2 linked regions of the Stegostoma tigrinum genome follow. The protein of the gene in region 1 interacts with the protein of each later gene in a pairwise test. Links are inferred from orthologs where the notes say so. Each region holds a gene or a part of one and is shown on either strand. Other genes may lie near its edges.

Evidence for each region.
Region 2: the proteins of nap1l1 (region 1) and rpl23a interact in binary tests that used the Homo sapiens proteins (3 or more experiments, as listed by UniProt). The link is inferred for Stegostoma tigrinum from reciprocal best matches to the Homo sapiens genes NAP1L1 and RPL23A.

The regions. Positions count from the first base shown.
Region 1 is NC_081371.1:63,286,756-63,295,091, reverse strand, and holds the start of nap1l1 (nucleosome assembly protein 1-like 1), read right to left. Parts: upstream 3,194-8,336; 5' UTR 3,094-3,193; exon of another isoform or gene 3,082-3,093; intron 1-3,081. UniProt on the Homo sapiens protein: Histone chaperone that plays a role in the nuclear import of H2A-H2B and nucleosome assembly.
Region 2 is NC_081380.1:27,119,662-27,128,075, forward strand, and holds the start of rpl23a (60S ribosomal protein L23a), read left to right. Parts: upstream 1-5,233; 5' UTR 5,234-5,327; coding exon 5,328-5,352; intron 5,353-6,958; coding exon 6,959-7,139; intron 7,140-8,414.

The DNA.
Region 1 (8,336 bases):
AAAGGTCAGAAATCACATGACACCAGGTTATGGTCCAACAGGTTTATTTGAAAACACAAGCTTTCAGAGTCTTACTGCTTCTTCAGGTGTTGAGAAAGATGGTATCAGACACAGAATTTATAAGTAAAAGCTCAAAAGTGTCACACCACTGATGCGGATGCACTAGACTCAGAGGATATTTTTAAGATCCCATCCTAGCATTTAGGGGAAAAAAAGGCATATCCAACTGACAGAGATAATGGGAACTGCAGATGCTGGAGAATTCCAAGATAATAAAATATGAGGCTAGATGAACACAGCAGGCCAAGCAGCATCTCAGGAGCACAAAAGCTGACGTTTCGGGCCTAGATCCTTCATCAGAGAGGGGGATGGGGAGAGGGAACTGGAATAAATAGGGAGAGAGGGGGAGGCGGACCGAAGATGGAGAGTAAAGAAGATAGGTGGAGAGAGTATAGGTGGGGAGGTAGGGAGGGGATAGGTCAGTCCAGGGAAGACGGACAGGTCAAGGAGGTGGGATGAGGTTAGTAGGTAGATGGGGGTGCGGCTTGGGGTGGGAGAAAGGGATGGGTGAGAGGAAGAACCAGTTAGGGAGGCAGAGACAGGTTGGACTGGTTTTGGGATGCAGTGGGTGGGGGGGAAGAGCTGGGCTGGTTGTGTGGTGCAGTGGGGGGAGGGGACGAACTGGGCTGGTTTAGGGATGCAGTAGGGGAAGGGGAGATTTTGAAACTGGTGAAGTCCACATTGATACCATATGGCTGCAGGGACGCCCTTGACCGCGTCTCCCGTATTTCCCGCAACACATCCCTCACACCCCGCCCCCGCCACAACCGCCCTAAGAGGATCCCTCTCGTTCTCACACACCACCCTACCAACCTCCGGATACAACGCATCATCCTCCGACACTTTCGCCATTTACAATCCGACCCCACCACCCAAGACATTTTTCCATCCCCACCCCTGTCTGCTTTCTGGAGAGACCACTCTCTCCGTGACTCCCTTGTTCGCTCCACACTGCCCTCCAACCCCACCACCCGCAGGAAATGCTACACTTGTCCCCACACCTCCTCCCTCACCCCTATCCCAGGCCCCAAGATGACATTCCACATGAAGCAGAGGTTCACCTGCACATCTGCCAATGTAGTATACTGCATCCACTGTACCCGGTGCGGCTTCCTCTACATTGGGGAAACCAAGCGGAGGCTTGGGAACCACTTTGCGGAACACCTCCGCTCAGTTCGCAACAAACAACTGCACCTCCCAGTCGCAAACCATTTCCACTCCCCCTCCCATTCTCTAGATGACATGTCCATCATGGGCCTCCTGCACTGCCACAACGATGCCACCCGAAGGTTGCAGGAACAGCAACTCTCATTCCGCCTGGGAACCCTGCAGCCATATGGTATCAATGTGGACTTCACCAGTTTCAAAATCTCCCCTTCCCCCCCTGCATCCCTAAACCAGCCCAGTTCGTCCCCTCCCCCCACTGCACCACACAACCAGCCCAGCTCTTCCCCCCCCGACCCACTGCATCCCAAAACCAGTCCAACCTGTCTCTGCCTCCCTAACCGGTTCTTCCTCTCACCCATCCCTTCCTCCCACCCCAAGCCGCACCCCCATCTACCTACTAACCTCATCCCACCTCCTTGACCTGTCCGTCTTCCCTGGACTGACCTATCCCCTCCCTACCTCCCCACCTATACTCTCTCCACCTATCTTCTTTACTCTCCATCTTCGGTCCGCCTCCCCCTCTCTCCCTATTTATTCCAGTTCCCTCTCCCCATCCCCCTCTCTGATGAAGGGTCTAGGCCTGAAACGTCAGCTTTTGTGCTCCTGAGATGCTGCTTGGCCTGCTGTGTTCATCCAGCCTCACATTTTAATATCCAACTGACACTCTACTACCAACACAGCCATTTTGCACACAGCAAGAGTCCATTAATAAAATGGACCACTGCTTAGCTATTGTTTGGCAGTGTACATCATGCAAGATAGGTTGACCAAGGTACCGTTCCATAACGTCACAGAAACTTTGACGTTTTAAAAACCAAGACAAGCACAAATGCCACTGATTAAAGTTATATGGAATAGCCTGACAGTCAAACACTCAGTACTGCAGTATCATCCTTGATTTAGGCTGTGCACTCAATGGTGTACATTAAACTGACACAAGCAAATAAGCAAAGACTTAGCTTTCTACAGGCATCCATTTTCACTGGGATATCCCTAGTTGATTAAGGATTACTGATTTTTTTCCTAGAAACGTTGGATAAATCATTTGTCTGGTAAAAACGTCTAATTATGCTGCACACAATCTTATAATTGGTTGATAAATCAGATAAACCTGTCCTTCCTAGAACATTCTTAGAAGTACATTTGCAAAAACAAGCCTTTCATTCCATTCATCACGAAAATCAGATGATTTCGGCCTTGCTAACAGTCAACGCTTCTACACTCAACTAGATTAGATGTAGCTGTACACATTGTAATCAGAAAAGGTTTTATTATCAAAGTCATCGAGAGCTGGTTACAACAGGGTGTGGAATATTAAGATATAACGGTGTTATAACACCAGAGGAAACGTGTAGTCTCGGGCCACAGACCAAGGATTTATTCTGAACCGACCTTGTCTCTCCGAGCTCACGCGGGGTGGGAATGGGGTTTAAAGTGAACCCAGCTCGCAGGAGCCCCCTCCCCGGGGAGGGGGAAACCCCAGGCGGGACCCGAACAGCATCTGCGCCACAGACCATACGGCGGCACCAAGACCGGGCCCACCCTCCTAGCGGCCTCCGCCACGTGTTCGGGCGGGGTGGACCGAAACGGGAGTCGCTAACCGGGGCCTCTCTTAGGCCGGAGCCGGGGCGGACGACGACAGGGCCCCCTCAGGCCCCGGAGCGCACACGCGACACAAACGCAACTGGAGGCGGTGGGCCCGGGCCGGACACGGTATTCCAGCCCGAGGCCGAGAGCCCGAACCTCCCTGTGGCTTAGCCCCGTTTTTACCCGCCCCCGGAACACCATGTCCCCGCAATTTACCCCCGGCATTCACTTGTTTATTTATTACCCCCCCCCCCCCGAGGTTTCTACCTGGCTCCGTACCTCTCGCTTTCTCCGCGCGCTCCAGCCCCGCTCTCTCTGATGGCGCTAAAGAACGAGCGGCGCCGCCGATTGGTTGGATATAACCTGCGGGGGCGCGCCCCGGGGACCGCCTTCTACGTGCGCGCCCCCAAACCACGCCGGCCGGTGCACGCACCCCCAAACTCCTCCCGCCACCGTTACGTCGTGGGACTTCGATGTTGTGGCCATTTCGGAGACATGGATAGAGCAGGAACAGGAATGGTTGTTGCAGGTTCCGGGATTTAGATGTTTCAGTAAGAACAGAGAAGATGGTAAAAGGGGCGGAGATGTGGCATTGTTGGTCAAGGACAGTATTACAGACGCAGAAAAGATGTTTGGGACTCGTCAACTGAGGTAGTATGGGCTGAGGTTAGAAACAGGAAAGGAGAGGTCACCCAGTTGGGAGTTTTCTATAGGCCTCCGAATAGTTCCAGAGATGTAGAGGAAAGGATAGCAAAGATGATTCTCGATAGGAGTGAGAGTGACAGGGTAGTTGTCATGGGGGACTTCAACTTTCCAAATATTGACTGGGAACACTATAGTTCGAGTACTATAGATGGGTCAGTTTTTGTCCAGTGTGTGCAGGAGGGCTTCCTGGCACAGTATGTAGACAGGCCAACAAGGGGCCAAGCCACATTAGATTTGGTACTGGGTAATGTGCCTGGCCAGGTGTTAGATTTGGAAGTAGGTGAGCACTTTGGTGATCACAATTCTGTTATGTTTACTTTAGTGATAGAAAGGGATAGGTGTATACCACTGTGCAAGAGTTATAGCTAGGGGAAAGGCAATTACGATGAGATTACGCAAGATTTAGGGAGCATAGGATGGGGAAGGAAACTGCAGGGGATGGGCACATTAGAAATGTGGAGCTTATTCAAGGAAAAGCTCCTGTGTGTCCTAGATAAGTATGTACCTGTCAGGCAGCGAGGAAGCTGTAGAGTGCGGGAGCATTGGTTTACGAAGGAGGTGGAATCTCTGGTCAAGAGGAAGAAGAAGGCTTATGTTAGGATGAAATGTGAAGGCTCAGTTAGGGCACTTGAGGGCTACGAGGTAGCCAGGAAAGACCTGAAGAGAGAGCTCAGAAGAGCCAGGAGGAGACATGAGAAGTTGTTGGCGGATAGGATCAGGGTAAACCCTAAGGCTTTCTATAGGTATTAAAGGAATAAAAGAATGACGAAAGTAAGATTAGGCCCAATCAAGGATAGTAGTGGTAAGTTGTGTGTGGAGTCAGATGAGATAGGGGAAGCGCTAAATGAATATTTTTCAACAGTATTCACTCTAGAAAATGACAATGTTGTCGAGGAGAATACTGAGATACAGGCTACGAGACTAGGTGGGATTGAGGTTCACAAGGAAGAGGTATTAGAAATCCTTCAGAGGGTGAAGATAGATAAGTCCCCTGGGCCGGATGGGATTTATCTTAGGATCCTCTGGGAAGCCAAGGCGGAGATTGCCGAGCCTTTGGCATTGATCTTTAACTTGTCATTGTCTACAGGAATAGTGCCAGACGACTGGAGGATAGCAAATGTGGTTCCCCTGTTCAAGAAGGGGAGTAGAGACAACCCTGGTAAATTATAGACCAGTGAGCCTTACCTCAGTTGTTGGTAAAGTGTTGGAAAAGGTTATAAGGGATAGGATTTATAATCACCTAGAAAAGAATAAATTGAGTAGGGATAGTCAGCACAGTTTTGTGAAGGGTAGGTCGTGCCTCACAAACCTTATTGAGTTCTTTGAGAAGGTGACCAAACAGGTAGATGAGAGTAAACCGGTTGATGTGGTGTATATGGATTTCAGCAAGGCGTTCGATAAGGTTCCCCACAATAGGCTACTGTACAAAATGCGGAGGAATGGAATTGTGGGAGATATAGCAGTTTGGATCGGAAATTGGCTTGCTGAAAAAAGACAGAGGGTGGTAGTTGATGGGAAATGTTCATCCTGGAGACCAGTTACTAGTGGTGTACCGCAAGGGTCGGTGTTGGGTCCACTGCTCTTTGTCATTTTTATAAATGACCTGGATGAGGGCGTAGAAGAGATAATGGGAACTGCAGATGCTGGAGAATCCCAGATAATAAAGTGTGAAGCTGGATGAACACAGCAGGCCAAGCAGCATCTCAGGAACACAAAAGCTGACGTTTCGGGCCTGGACCCTTCTTCAGAGAGGGTGTAGAAGGATGGGTTAGTAAATTTGCGGACGACACTAAGTTCGGTGGAGTTGTGGATAGTGACGAAGGATGCTGTAGGTTGCAGAGGGACAGAGATAAGCTGCAGAGCTGGGTTGAGAGGTGGCAAATGGAGTTTAATGCAGACATGAGGTGATGCACTTTGGGAGGAGTAACCGGAAGGCAAAGTACTGGGCTAATGGTAAGATTCTTAGTAGCGTAGATAAGCAGCAAGATTTTGGTTTCCATGTACACAGATCCTTGAAAGTTGCCAACCAGGTTGACAGGGCTGTTAAGAAGGCATACAGTGTTTTAGCTTTTATTAATAGAAGAATCGAGTTCCAGAACCAAGAGGTTATGGTGAAGCTGTACAAAACTCTGGTGCGGCCGCACTTGGAGTATTGTGTACAGTTCTGGTCACCGCATTATAAGAAGGATGTGGAAGCTTTGGAAAGGGTGCAGAGGAGATTTACTAGGATGTTGCCTGGTATGGAGGGAAGGTCTTACGAGGAAAGGCTGAGGGCCTTGAGGCTGTTTTCATTAGAGAGAAGAAGGTTGAGAGGTGACTTAATTGAAACATTTAAAATAATCAGAGGGTTAGATAGGGTGGAGAGGGAGAGCCTTTTTCCTAGGATGGTGACGGCGAGCACGAGGGGGCATAGCTTTAAATTGAGGGGTGAAAGATATAGGACAGATGTCAGAGGTAGTTTCTTTACTCAGAGAGTAGTAAGGGAATGGAACGCTTTGCCTGCAACGGTAGTAGATTCGCCAACTTCAGGTACATTTAAGTCGTCATTGGATAAGCATATGGACGTACATGGAATAGTGTTGGTTAGATGGGCTTGAGATCGGTATGACAGGTCGGCACAACATCGAGGGCCGAAGGGCCTGTACTGTGCTGTAATGTTCTATGCTCACTCTCCGTCTGATTGACAAACCGTGTCCCACCTTGCCTCACCCACTCCATCCCCCCTACACCCCTCCCTGGCACTCCCCCCACTCCCTTTCCCCACGGTCCCACCACTTCATCCCTCCCACTCCATTCCCCCCACACCCCTCCCTGGCACTCCTCCCACTCCTTTTCCCCACACTCCCACCACTTCATCCCTCCCACTGCATCCCCCTACACCCCTCCCTTGCTCTCCCCCCACTCCATCTCTCTCTGCTTTCCTTGCTCTCGCCTGACTTCGTCCCCGGCTTCGCCCCCAACCCGCTGTCCTCTTCCCTGTTCTCCCCCGCCTCATCCCACCCGCTTCCCCCCCCGCTGTCCCCCACTGCCCCCCCCCGCTCTCCCCCCTCTTCATCCCCCCACATCTTCACCCACTCCCCTCCCCTGCTTTCCCCCCAATCCGTCCCCCCCCACACTCTCCCTCTCCCACCCTGCTGACCCCTCCTCCCCACTCTCCACTCTGACCCCAGTTCCACCCCTGTCACCACCACCTCCTCCCTCACTCTGTCCTCCTCCAACCCATCCCCCCCACTTACCTCACTCCCCACGACTTCTTCCCCCGCCACACTCTCCCGCTTCCCCCCCACCCTACCCCCCTCCACAAATTCCTCCCCCTCCCCTCAGTCCCTCTCTGCCTCCTCTCCCACACTCAACCCCTCTCCCACACTTGCCCCCTCTCCCCCACAAAACACCCTCCCACTTAGCCCCTCCCCATCACCTGTTCTCCCTCCAAACACCACCTAAGCTGCCCCTCTCACAAATTCTGTCTAGACCCCCACTCTGTTCACCTTAATGTTCGTGGATTAGACAAGGTGGAATTTTTAAAGTGCATCCAGGAGAGTTTTTAGTGCCAGTGCATAGATAATCCTGCTAGAGGTGGGATAGTGCGAGACCTCACATTAAGGAGTGAAGCCAGTCAAATGGGTGAGCTTGAGATAACACGGTGTGAAGCTGGATGAACACAGCAGGCCAAGAAGCATCAGAGGAGCAGGAAAGTTTGACATTTTGGGTCGAGACCCTTCTTCAGAAAAAATGGGTGAGCTTGTTGTGGATAGTGACCATAATTCTGTAAGTTTCAAAGTTATTGTGGAAAGGAATATGGATAGTGCAGCAATTAAGTGTCTAAATTGGGGAAGGTGGATTTCAATATCATAGAATTCCCTACAGCGTGGAAAGAGGCCGTTGGCTTGTTGAGTAGGCACAGGCCCTCTGAACAGCATCCACGCCAAAGCCACCACCTTACCCCATCTCTGTAACCCTGCATTTAGTGTGGCCAATCAAGGGTCTAGGCCCGAAACGTCAGCTTTCCTGCTCCTAAGATGTTGCTTGGCCAGCTGTGTTTATCCAGCTCTACACCTTATTATCCCACCTAACCTGTATATCTTTGGACTGTGGAAGGAAACCTGAGCACCAAGAGGAAACCTATGCAGACACATTGAGAATATGCAAGCTCCCCACAGACAGTCATCCGAGGCTGAGAATTTTGCCTCCTGGTCCCTGGCACTGTCAGATAGCAGTGCTCACCACTGAGCCACCCTAATATCCTTTGACAGCATCTGGCAAACGTAGACTGGGAACAGTTACATGCAGGTAAGTCTACAATTGGAAAGTAGGACTCTTTTAAAAGCAGTGCAGTGAAAATTCAGGGCCAGCGCAAGGGCAGCAGGACCAGGGAACCTTGGATGTCAAGGAATATCGAAAGTTTGATCATGAAAAAGATATATCAGGTACAGCACATTAAAAACAGGGGAGATCCTTTAAAATTTAGAGGCTGTAGGAGGTTACTTAAAAAGGAAATTAGGATGGCAAAGAGGTGCCATGAAATGCCTTTGGCAGATGGGATCCAGAAAAACCCAAAGGTTTTTTTAAGAGTAATACTAGGGAAGGGTGGGACTTTTTAGAAACCAAAAGACAACTTGTTCACGGAGTCAGAGGATGTTGGTGAGGGCTTAAATGAATATTTCTCATCTGTATTCACAGAGGAGAAAGACAGTATAGCCAGGAATTTCAGGATGGTGATGTTCCAGAACACATTAAGTTTAATAATGAGGAGGCATAGAGGTGCCTAAATCCCCAGAGCCTATGGAGATGTATCCCAGGCTGCTGTGGGAGGCAAA
Region 2 (8,414 bases), on another chromosome or scaffold:
TTTTACATTTAGATGACGTAATTGATAAATTTATCGTTAAAATGCTACAACATTAGTGCCACCTGCTGGATGATCACGAGTTGGAATGGGCTTTTCTGTTTAATGATTATTTGATGGCATTTAATCTTGTGTTAATCAGATCATGTACAGTATTCTGTCTTTTGTTTCACAACCAAATTGGTTTCCATTTCTTTTCATCTTATCTTTCAGTTAATTGCTCCAATAACAATAATATTCCAACCCAGTGGAAGCAAATCATTATAGATACTAGAGATCTGAAATAAAGACAGAAAGTGCTGGAGAAATTCAGCAGGCCGGACAGCGTCTGTGGAGAGAGAATCGGGGTTTACGTTTCAAGCCCAATATTTCTTCAGATTCTATTATTCCAAAAGCTGACATTCACTGAGAAATTGTACTTTTCATACACAGTATCAAAGCTTAACTTCCCGAAATGTATAACTATAAATTATTGAGGTAAATTACTTATTTAGAAAATACATTACATGTTTCACACTAATGCAGAAAATGGAAAAAGTATACCCTGATTTCTGCTCACAGGAGAAAAACTACTCCCACAGATTGATGCAGAGATATAATAGCACAGCAATAATAATATAGACAAAACACCAATGGCAGAACAATGATCCAACTGTTGGTTGAATATTTAAAACACATCAGGAAGTTCCTGGGGACACAAATTTAGATTTTCTCACCTCGTCCATTGCATGTAATTTGTATCAGGGGAGGGAGTGAGGGTAGTGACTATGTTCCCAGTGGATTTCTCTCAATCACACACCTGTTGCCATTACCGAGCACTGCCGGGGGAAAGTGGCATTTGGCCCCAGCAAAGTAGCCATAATGACCCTGAGGTCTCTTTAAACAGATTGGAGAGGACCATGTTGTGACCTCTCCCTTTATTTAAACTGCGATTTACCTTCTTTTGTAGTCCTTAGCTTCTGTGTTCAGAACTATTAAGCTTTCAATCTGCAGATATTTGAAACACCTCTATCTCTCTCACTGCTCAGCCACCTCCTGTTGATTTGCACAAGTACTGTAGCAATGTTGAGATTTTGAAGTGGGGTAAATAACAGGCTTCCTTGTGATGTGAGCATGTCATTGGATACTCACTGAGCATCTTTGGCGAATGCCCACTCAGAAAGCTAGTATGTTGTTTCAATTCATGCCAGAGGTCTGAGTAGAAGTTACACCACATGTAGACTCTGGCATCAGTAGGAGAATTGTTGGCACAGTATCTGATGTTAGATAAGTGAAGAGATATCTCAAGCTCCTTTTGCCTCTTCTACGAAGTAAAAAGCAGTGAATACAAAAGTTGAAGACCCGGAGAAATTCCCTGGGTTATAAAGTCAGCTCTTCCATTGAAGATGTTTCTTCATAAATAAAGTTCAAGCAGACATGTGGCTACAAAAACAGGTCAAAGGCTTGGAATTTTGTGGTGAATAACTCACCTACAGATTCAATTCCAAAGCCTGTACAGGGGGTATGATGGAATACTCTTAACTTGCCTGAGCCACTACAGCTCCAGAAACATTCGAGAAGCTTGACACCATCCAAAACAAAACAGCCTGCATGATTGGCACGCCATTGCCAACCTAATACATTCACTTCCTCCACCGCTGACGCACATTTGCACAGTGTAGTGTGTTCTATATAGAAGATGAGCACTGCAGCAGTTCACCAAAACTTCTTTTACAGAAACTGACAAAAGCCTGCAATCTTCGCCACTGAGAAAGACAATGGTAACAGGTGAATAGAAGCACCACCTGCAAATTCCCCTCCAATGCCACACATTATTCTGACTTAAAATATTTCATTGTTCCTTTGCTGTCAAGTATTCAAGATCCTAGAACTCCCTCCCTAAAGCATTGTGGGTGTATCTGCCTCATATGGACTGCAACAGTTCAAGAAGGCTGCTAAAGGATGAGTAGCAATGGGCAATCATCTTTGGCCCAGCTTACATTTCATGAACGAATAAATAAATATATATCACATTAAATGATGAGCTGTATGATTGGAAAATTACTCCTTTTGGTGATATTTCTCTTTATCTGGCTTAATAATAAAGTAAATTATATTTTGAGCTCACCAGTGCCAAAATGTACTGCAAACATTCATTCAGTCAAACATCCTAGACAGCCCAACACAGCTTGCAACCCGGTAATGAAAATCCAATGGCATTCCCATTGAATTGTAATTACCATCGAGCCAACACCTTAAATGGGCAATCTGTGTATTAACCATGCCACAGAGCAAACAAAAGCACTGTTGGAGGTGTCCTCGTGCCTACTACTGTCTTTTAGAATGTTTTTATCTGCCTGATTTCTAAGTAAGCAATGGGTAGATACAGAAATTGAGACGCAAACGCATTCCACTGTCCAGCAACTAATTGAAATGCATCATACAATGATTAATAATCTGTTGAAAAAGAGATTCAAAGTATAAACCAACACACAAGTTAACTTAGTTTCCACGCAATGAATAATTGAACAAAAAGCAAATTGATAAGATTTTGTATTTTGTATGATACAGAAAATGAATAAAGACATTTCTCTGAAAAAAAATTTCAATATACTTGAATGGATCTGAACAATAAGAGAGCTAATTTCCTGCAAGGCAAAAACTGCTTATGGCGTAGATATGCTTGCAAATGCTGATTTACTGTATTATTTTGGAATGTAGTTGTGATTCTCATTTCTGGATCACTCTCACTATTTTATCTTCATCCCACAGACAGCAGTTTTTTTACATGAGAGCAGATTATCTCCTGCATAATTACAATGTGGAGGTGCCGCTGCTGGATTGGAGTGGACAAGGTCAGAAATCACACATTACCAGGTTATAGTCCAACAGGTTTATTTGAAATCACAAGCTTTTGGAGTGCTACTCATTTGTCAAGTGAAGCAAAGAGAAGCATATAGGCACAGAATTTATAGGCAGAGAGATCAAAAGATCATACAAATGGTGTCAATGGAGTGTCGACGGGCTGAATAGGAAGTCTCTGCAAATGATCAAAAGTGTCAGCTTGTAATTTCAAATAAAGCTGTTAGACTATAACCTAGTGTCGTGTGACTTCTGGCTATGTAATTATATATTTTAATTAATGATGTTCAAAAACTGCCACAAGAAAAATGAAAGAAGTGCATTTGAATGCAAGTTTTTTAATAGAAAATCTGCACTCAATTTTCTGTGGCATTGCACAAGGTGCGTCAAGCCCGAATGTTGTCTTCAGCTGTTGAAAGGGAGGAATTAGATGGACTACAGCACACAGTTGAAATTTATTCCAGTTTGAAGTCAAACATTTTAGATCATAGAATCATATAATCCTGACAGTGTGGAAACAGGCCCTTTGGCCCAATAAGTCCACATCGACCGTCAGAGCATCTCACCTAGACCCCCTAATATACACATCCCTGTACACTACAGGCAATTTAGTATGGCTAATCTACCTAGCCTGCATATCTTTGGACTGTGGGAGGAAACTCGAGCACCCAGAGGAAACCCACGTAGACACAGGGAGAACGTGCAAACTCTGCACATACAGTTGCCCCAGGTTGGAATCAAACCCAGGTCCCCAGTACTGTGAGGCAGCAGTGGTAACCACTGAGCCACTGTGCCACCCAAAATCGTTTACTTAGACCAATGAGCCACCCCCTATAATGCTTATATTTCCAATTGCAAATAGCCTATGCCTGTTATGTCATCTTGCTGAATAAGGTGAAATAAAATAGGCTCACTAATGTCCTTCAGAGATGGAAACTGCCATCCTTACTCAAGTCTGGCCTACATATGATTCTAGACCCACAGCAATGTGGCTGACTCTTAACTGCCCTTGGTGCAATTAGGCATGGGCAATATGTGCTAGTCTAGCCAGTGACGCCCTCATGCCATGAATGCATTTAAAAAAAGAAGCAAAGGAGATAGGAGCAGGAGGAGACCAATCAGCCTGTTGATCCTTCTCTGCCATTCAGCATGATCATGGCTAACCTTCTAGCTCAATGCCATTTTCCCACACTGTTCCCGTATTTTGTCTTTAATATGTGCAAATATTTCGACATATGTCTTGAACGTACTCTGAGCCTTCAAATTCCTCTGGAGTTGAGAAGTCCAAAGTGAAGAAATTACTTATCATCTTAGTCTTAAACAGACTATCCCTTTTTTCTGAGATTATGCCCCCACTTCTAGAGTCCCCAGCTCCATGAAACATACTTCTTGCATCTACCTTGTAAAGCCCTGTAAAAATATTGTATGTTACAATGACAAATAATATCACCTCTCAGTCTTCTAAACTGTAAGGAATAAAGGCTCAGTCTCCTCATAGGAAAATCCTGCCATCCTAAGAATCAGTTTAGTGCAATCTGTCCATGGTAAGCATAACACTCTTAAGGCTGCAAGACCAAAATTGTACTCTTTAAGTGTGTTCTCATGAAGGCTGTGCACAACTTCAGCTAGACACCTTTACTCCTCTGATGCTGCCTCTATAGGAGGTCTTTAATAGGTCTTCATCTTTACTAAATGAAAAGATTAATTAGGCAGTTTCCATGATAATTGGACCAGTTGACAGGAATTGATGCAGATGTCAGATTTTTAATACATTGACAGAAAGAAACCCTGTTTAAATTGTATATCCTTGATGTTACTTAAACTCTGCACATTGCAGGTTACTTAATCAAATTTCAATACTTTGAACATTCAAAAACAATTACAAATTGTCTTGTTATACTGTCAATTACTTAAATATTCTTACGTCTAAATTTGATGATCCAAGTAATGCAATGGGATTAATGATTTGAATGCAACTCATGTAATTTAACCTTCTTTAACAATTTTTCTAATTATTCACACCATAGAATATAACAGTGCAGGCTTCTGCAAGTCTTTGCTAATAGATATATGAATGCACCTAATAGATGTGGTAGAATTTTCAGGTTGTGTGTGATAAATATTTCAGAGCATATGAAGAGAATGTAATGTAACTGGAAAAATACATGGGCTCTTGTGGAGCAGTGATAGTGTTCATTTGTCTGAGCCAGAAGGCCCCAGTCAAATCCCATATGCTCCAGGGGTATATCCTAACACAGTGATAAAATACGATAATACAAGCTATTACATATAAAAACATTTATCACTGGAGGGGTGACCCAGTCAATCAGCAAGTCAGAATGAAGACTACACACAGAGAGCGGACTACAATTCCCATAGGACTTTGCGCGGAGGTGCATTCTGGGGCGAGGTGTGGAACTCTCGCGAGATCTCTCTGAACTCCCTGTTCTTTAGGCCGGGAGGCCCCGTAGACAACCTCTTTTTCTAAGATGGCTCCGAAGGTGAAGAAGGAAGGTGAGAGGCTCCGGGCCTGGTGCTGGAGTTGTTGTTTCAAACACCGACAAACAGGCTGTTGGCAGTCTCTCCGGCAAGAAGGAGACTCGGCTCTTCCTCATAGGAAGCTAATTGCTCCGTATCAATTCTAAATCGCCGAGATACTCACCTTCGGTCGGATCGGCCGCCCGCCAACGTGGTGGCTGCAGGGCCTGAGGCCTGGGGTTTCAGGCTGGCGAGGGGGTGTTTGACAGCACCGAGTCTGGGTGCTGGCGGTTTAACCTGCACCAGGAGTGAAAAATGTCATGGGGATCCCGGCCTGGACTGTTCCAGGGCTCGGTCCCTCATGTGGAAATGGATCCAGCAGTTCAAAAGCTCTGATAGCAATATGGTTTTGATTTGGCTTGGATTGGCCGATGCTGGTGTTTCTATGCCAAGTGCTATTCCTGTGCCGTTTAGAAGCCTCTAGTTGGTGAACTGTAAATGTATTAATCGTTAAAATCGGGTCTACGAGTGTCCGGAGTACATTAGTGCATTGCAGCACTATCATATGTGTTTTAATAGCCAATTGAAAGCAAATTTCTGCTCATTTTGAAGTTAGCGTGTTTTATAAAATGTATAAAGGTTAATGGGATCTGCAGGAGGACATCTCGCCCATCCCCAAGATTCATTCACCAAGATCATACTTGATCTTCTGCCTCAAAAGACTTTCCCACCAAATGTCTCATTTGGGTCTGCCTAGCTCAGTTGGCTCAACTGCTGTTTTGCGATGTAGAGTACTGTTAATATTCACGGTTCAAATCCAGCAGTACCTGAGGTTATCCTGAAGGACTTCTTTTCAACCTCTTCCCTCACGGCCCATCTATTCGTTAATCCAAGATAATAAAGTGTGGAGCTGGATGAACACAGCAGGCCAAGCAGCATCTTAGGAGCACAAAAGCTGATGTTTCGGCCCTAGACCCTTCATGCTCCAATGGAGGGTCTAGGCCTGAAACGTCAGCTTTTGTGCTCCTGAGATGCTGCTTGGCCTGCTGTGTTCATCTAGCTCCACACTTCGTTATCTTGGATTCTCCAGCATCTACAGATCCCATTATCACTATTCTTTAATCCAGCTGGATTGTTTAGCTCAGTTGGATAGAAAGCAGGGTCATGCAAACAGTGTGGATTTAATCACCACACTGGAAGAGATTACCATGAAGGATTCTCCTTCTCAACCTTTTTCTTTACCTGAGGTATGGGGACCCTTGGGTTAAACCAGTTGTGTGTATCTTTTCTCTCTCTAGTGAGAGCAGCCCTATGGACCGAAAGGACGATGGCAACTTTGTTTCTCTTACCTGTGGCCTAACAACTCTACTCGTTATAAATCCAGTGATTTGTCTTGAAAACACAAAAGATTCTGTTCCCTCTGCATGAAAATACCCTCCTAACCTCTGCCTTAAATGGTATTCTCTTTATCCTGAGAAACAGTCCCCTCCCTAACTGCCCTGTTGAGCCCTGTAATAATAATCTAAAATTGCTAAGATTTTAAAAATCAAGCTGTGTATAACAGTTATTAAAAATGATGTTTAATGTTCTTGCTGGAAATAAGATGGGGCAGGTATAATAAAAGACTCTTTATCATCTTTAGCTGTCCCTGCCAAAACGGAGGCTAAATCCAAGGCCTTGAAAGCAAAGAAGGCCATTTTGAAGGGAGTTCATAGTCACAGGCAGAAGAAAATTAGGACAACACCTACCTTCAGGAGACCAAAGACACTCAGACTGAGAAGGCAACCCAAGTATCCCAGAAAGAGTGCACCCAGGAGGAACAAGTATGTCTTCAAACCATTCATTTTTTTTTCAATCAGCTTTACTTCGCTTAATTGCCATGAGGGCTTGTATTTGAAATTCTCATCTTTTCTAGAAAGGAGAGTAAACTTGGCATTTCTTTTCCTGGAGAAAAGCAAAGCACTACTGATGCTGAAAGTGTCAGGTTAACATTTCAGATTAATGACCTTGCACCAGAACTGGTAAAAAGAGAAATATTGATTTCAAGGAAGGCTAAGATACTTTATGCCAAAGTATGAGACCCTCAGCAGCCATATGTTGAGTTGAATTGACTCTTCACTGTGTGTTGGTCTGTGGCTTTTCCATTGCTGGCAGTGGAGGTTTTCACTGGTCCGCAACCTGTAGATACTGATCAATTTTGTTAGTCCAGTTAGTGTTCCCTAATCCAGTATAGATGCTGGGTTGAGAGTTCTTTGTGTGTACTAAATATTCAAAGCAGTAGAGTCATAGGGTAATACAGCATGGAAACAGGCCCTTCGGCCCAAACTGGTCCATGGTGCCTACTTAGTTCCAATTGCGTGCATTTGGTCCATAATCCCTGTTAAACCCTTCCCATCCATGTAGCTATCCAAATGTTTTTTAAATGTTAATATTGTACCTGCCTGAACCACTTTCTCTGGCAGCATCCACCACCACTCTCTGCATGAAGAAGTTGCCCCTCAGGTCCTCCCTAAACTTACTACTATTCGTAACATTCTTGGAAATTTTCACACACTTTCCAGTTTAACTATGTCTTTCCCAAATCAGGATGACCAGATCGGACACAATACTCCAAGTGTAGTCTCACCGACAACTTATGCAACTGTAACGTAACGTCCCAACTTCTATACTCGGTACCTCGACCAGCGAAGACCAGCATGCTAAATGCCTTCTTCACACCCTGTCCACCTTTGACACTGCAGTCGCTGAATAATGTACTCGTCCTCCTCAGTCCCTGTGTTCCACAACACTCCTCAAAAACTTGCCATTTACCATGTAAGACCTACCTTGGTTTGATTTTCCAAAATGCTACACGTCACACTTATCTGTATTGAATTGCATTTGCTAATCCTCAACCTACTTCCCCATCTGATCAAGACTCCTCTATAATTTTTGATAACCTTCCTCACTATCAGCAATACCTCCTAATGTTTTATCACCTGGAGACTTGCTAATCATGCCTGGTACGTTCACATCCAGATCATTTATGTAAATAACAAACAACAATGCCTCAGCACCGACCCCTGTGGCACTCCACTAGTCACAGATCACCAATCCGA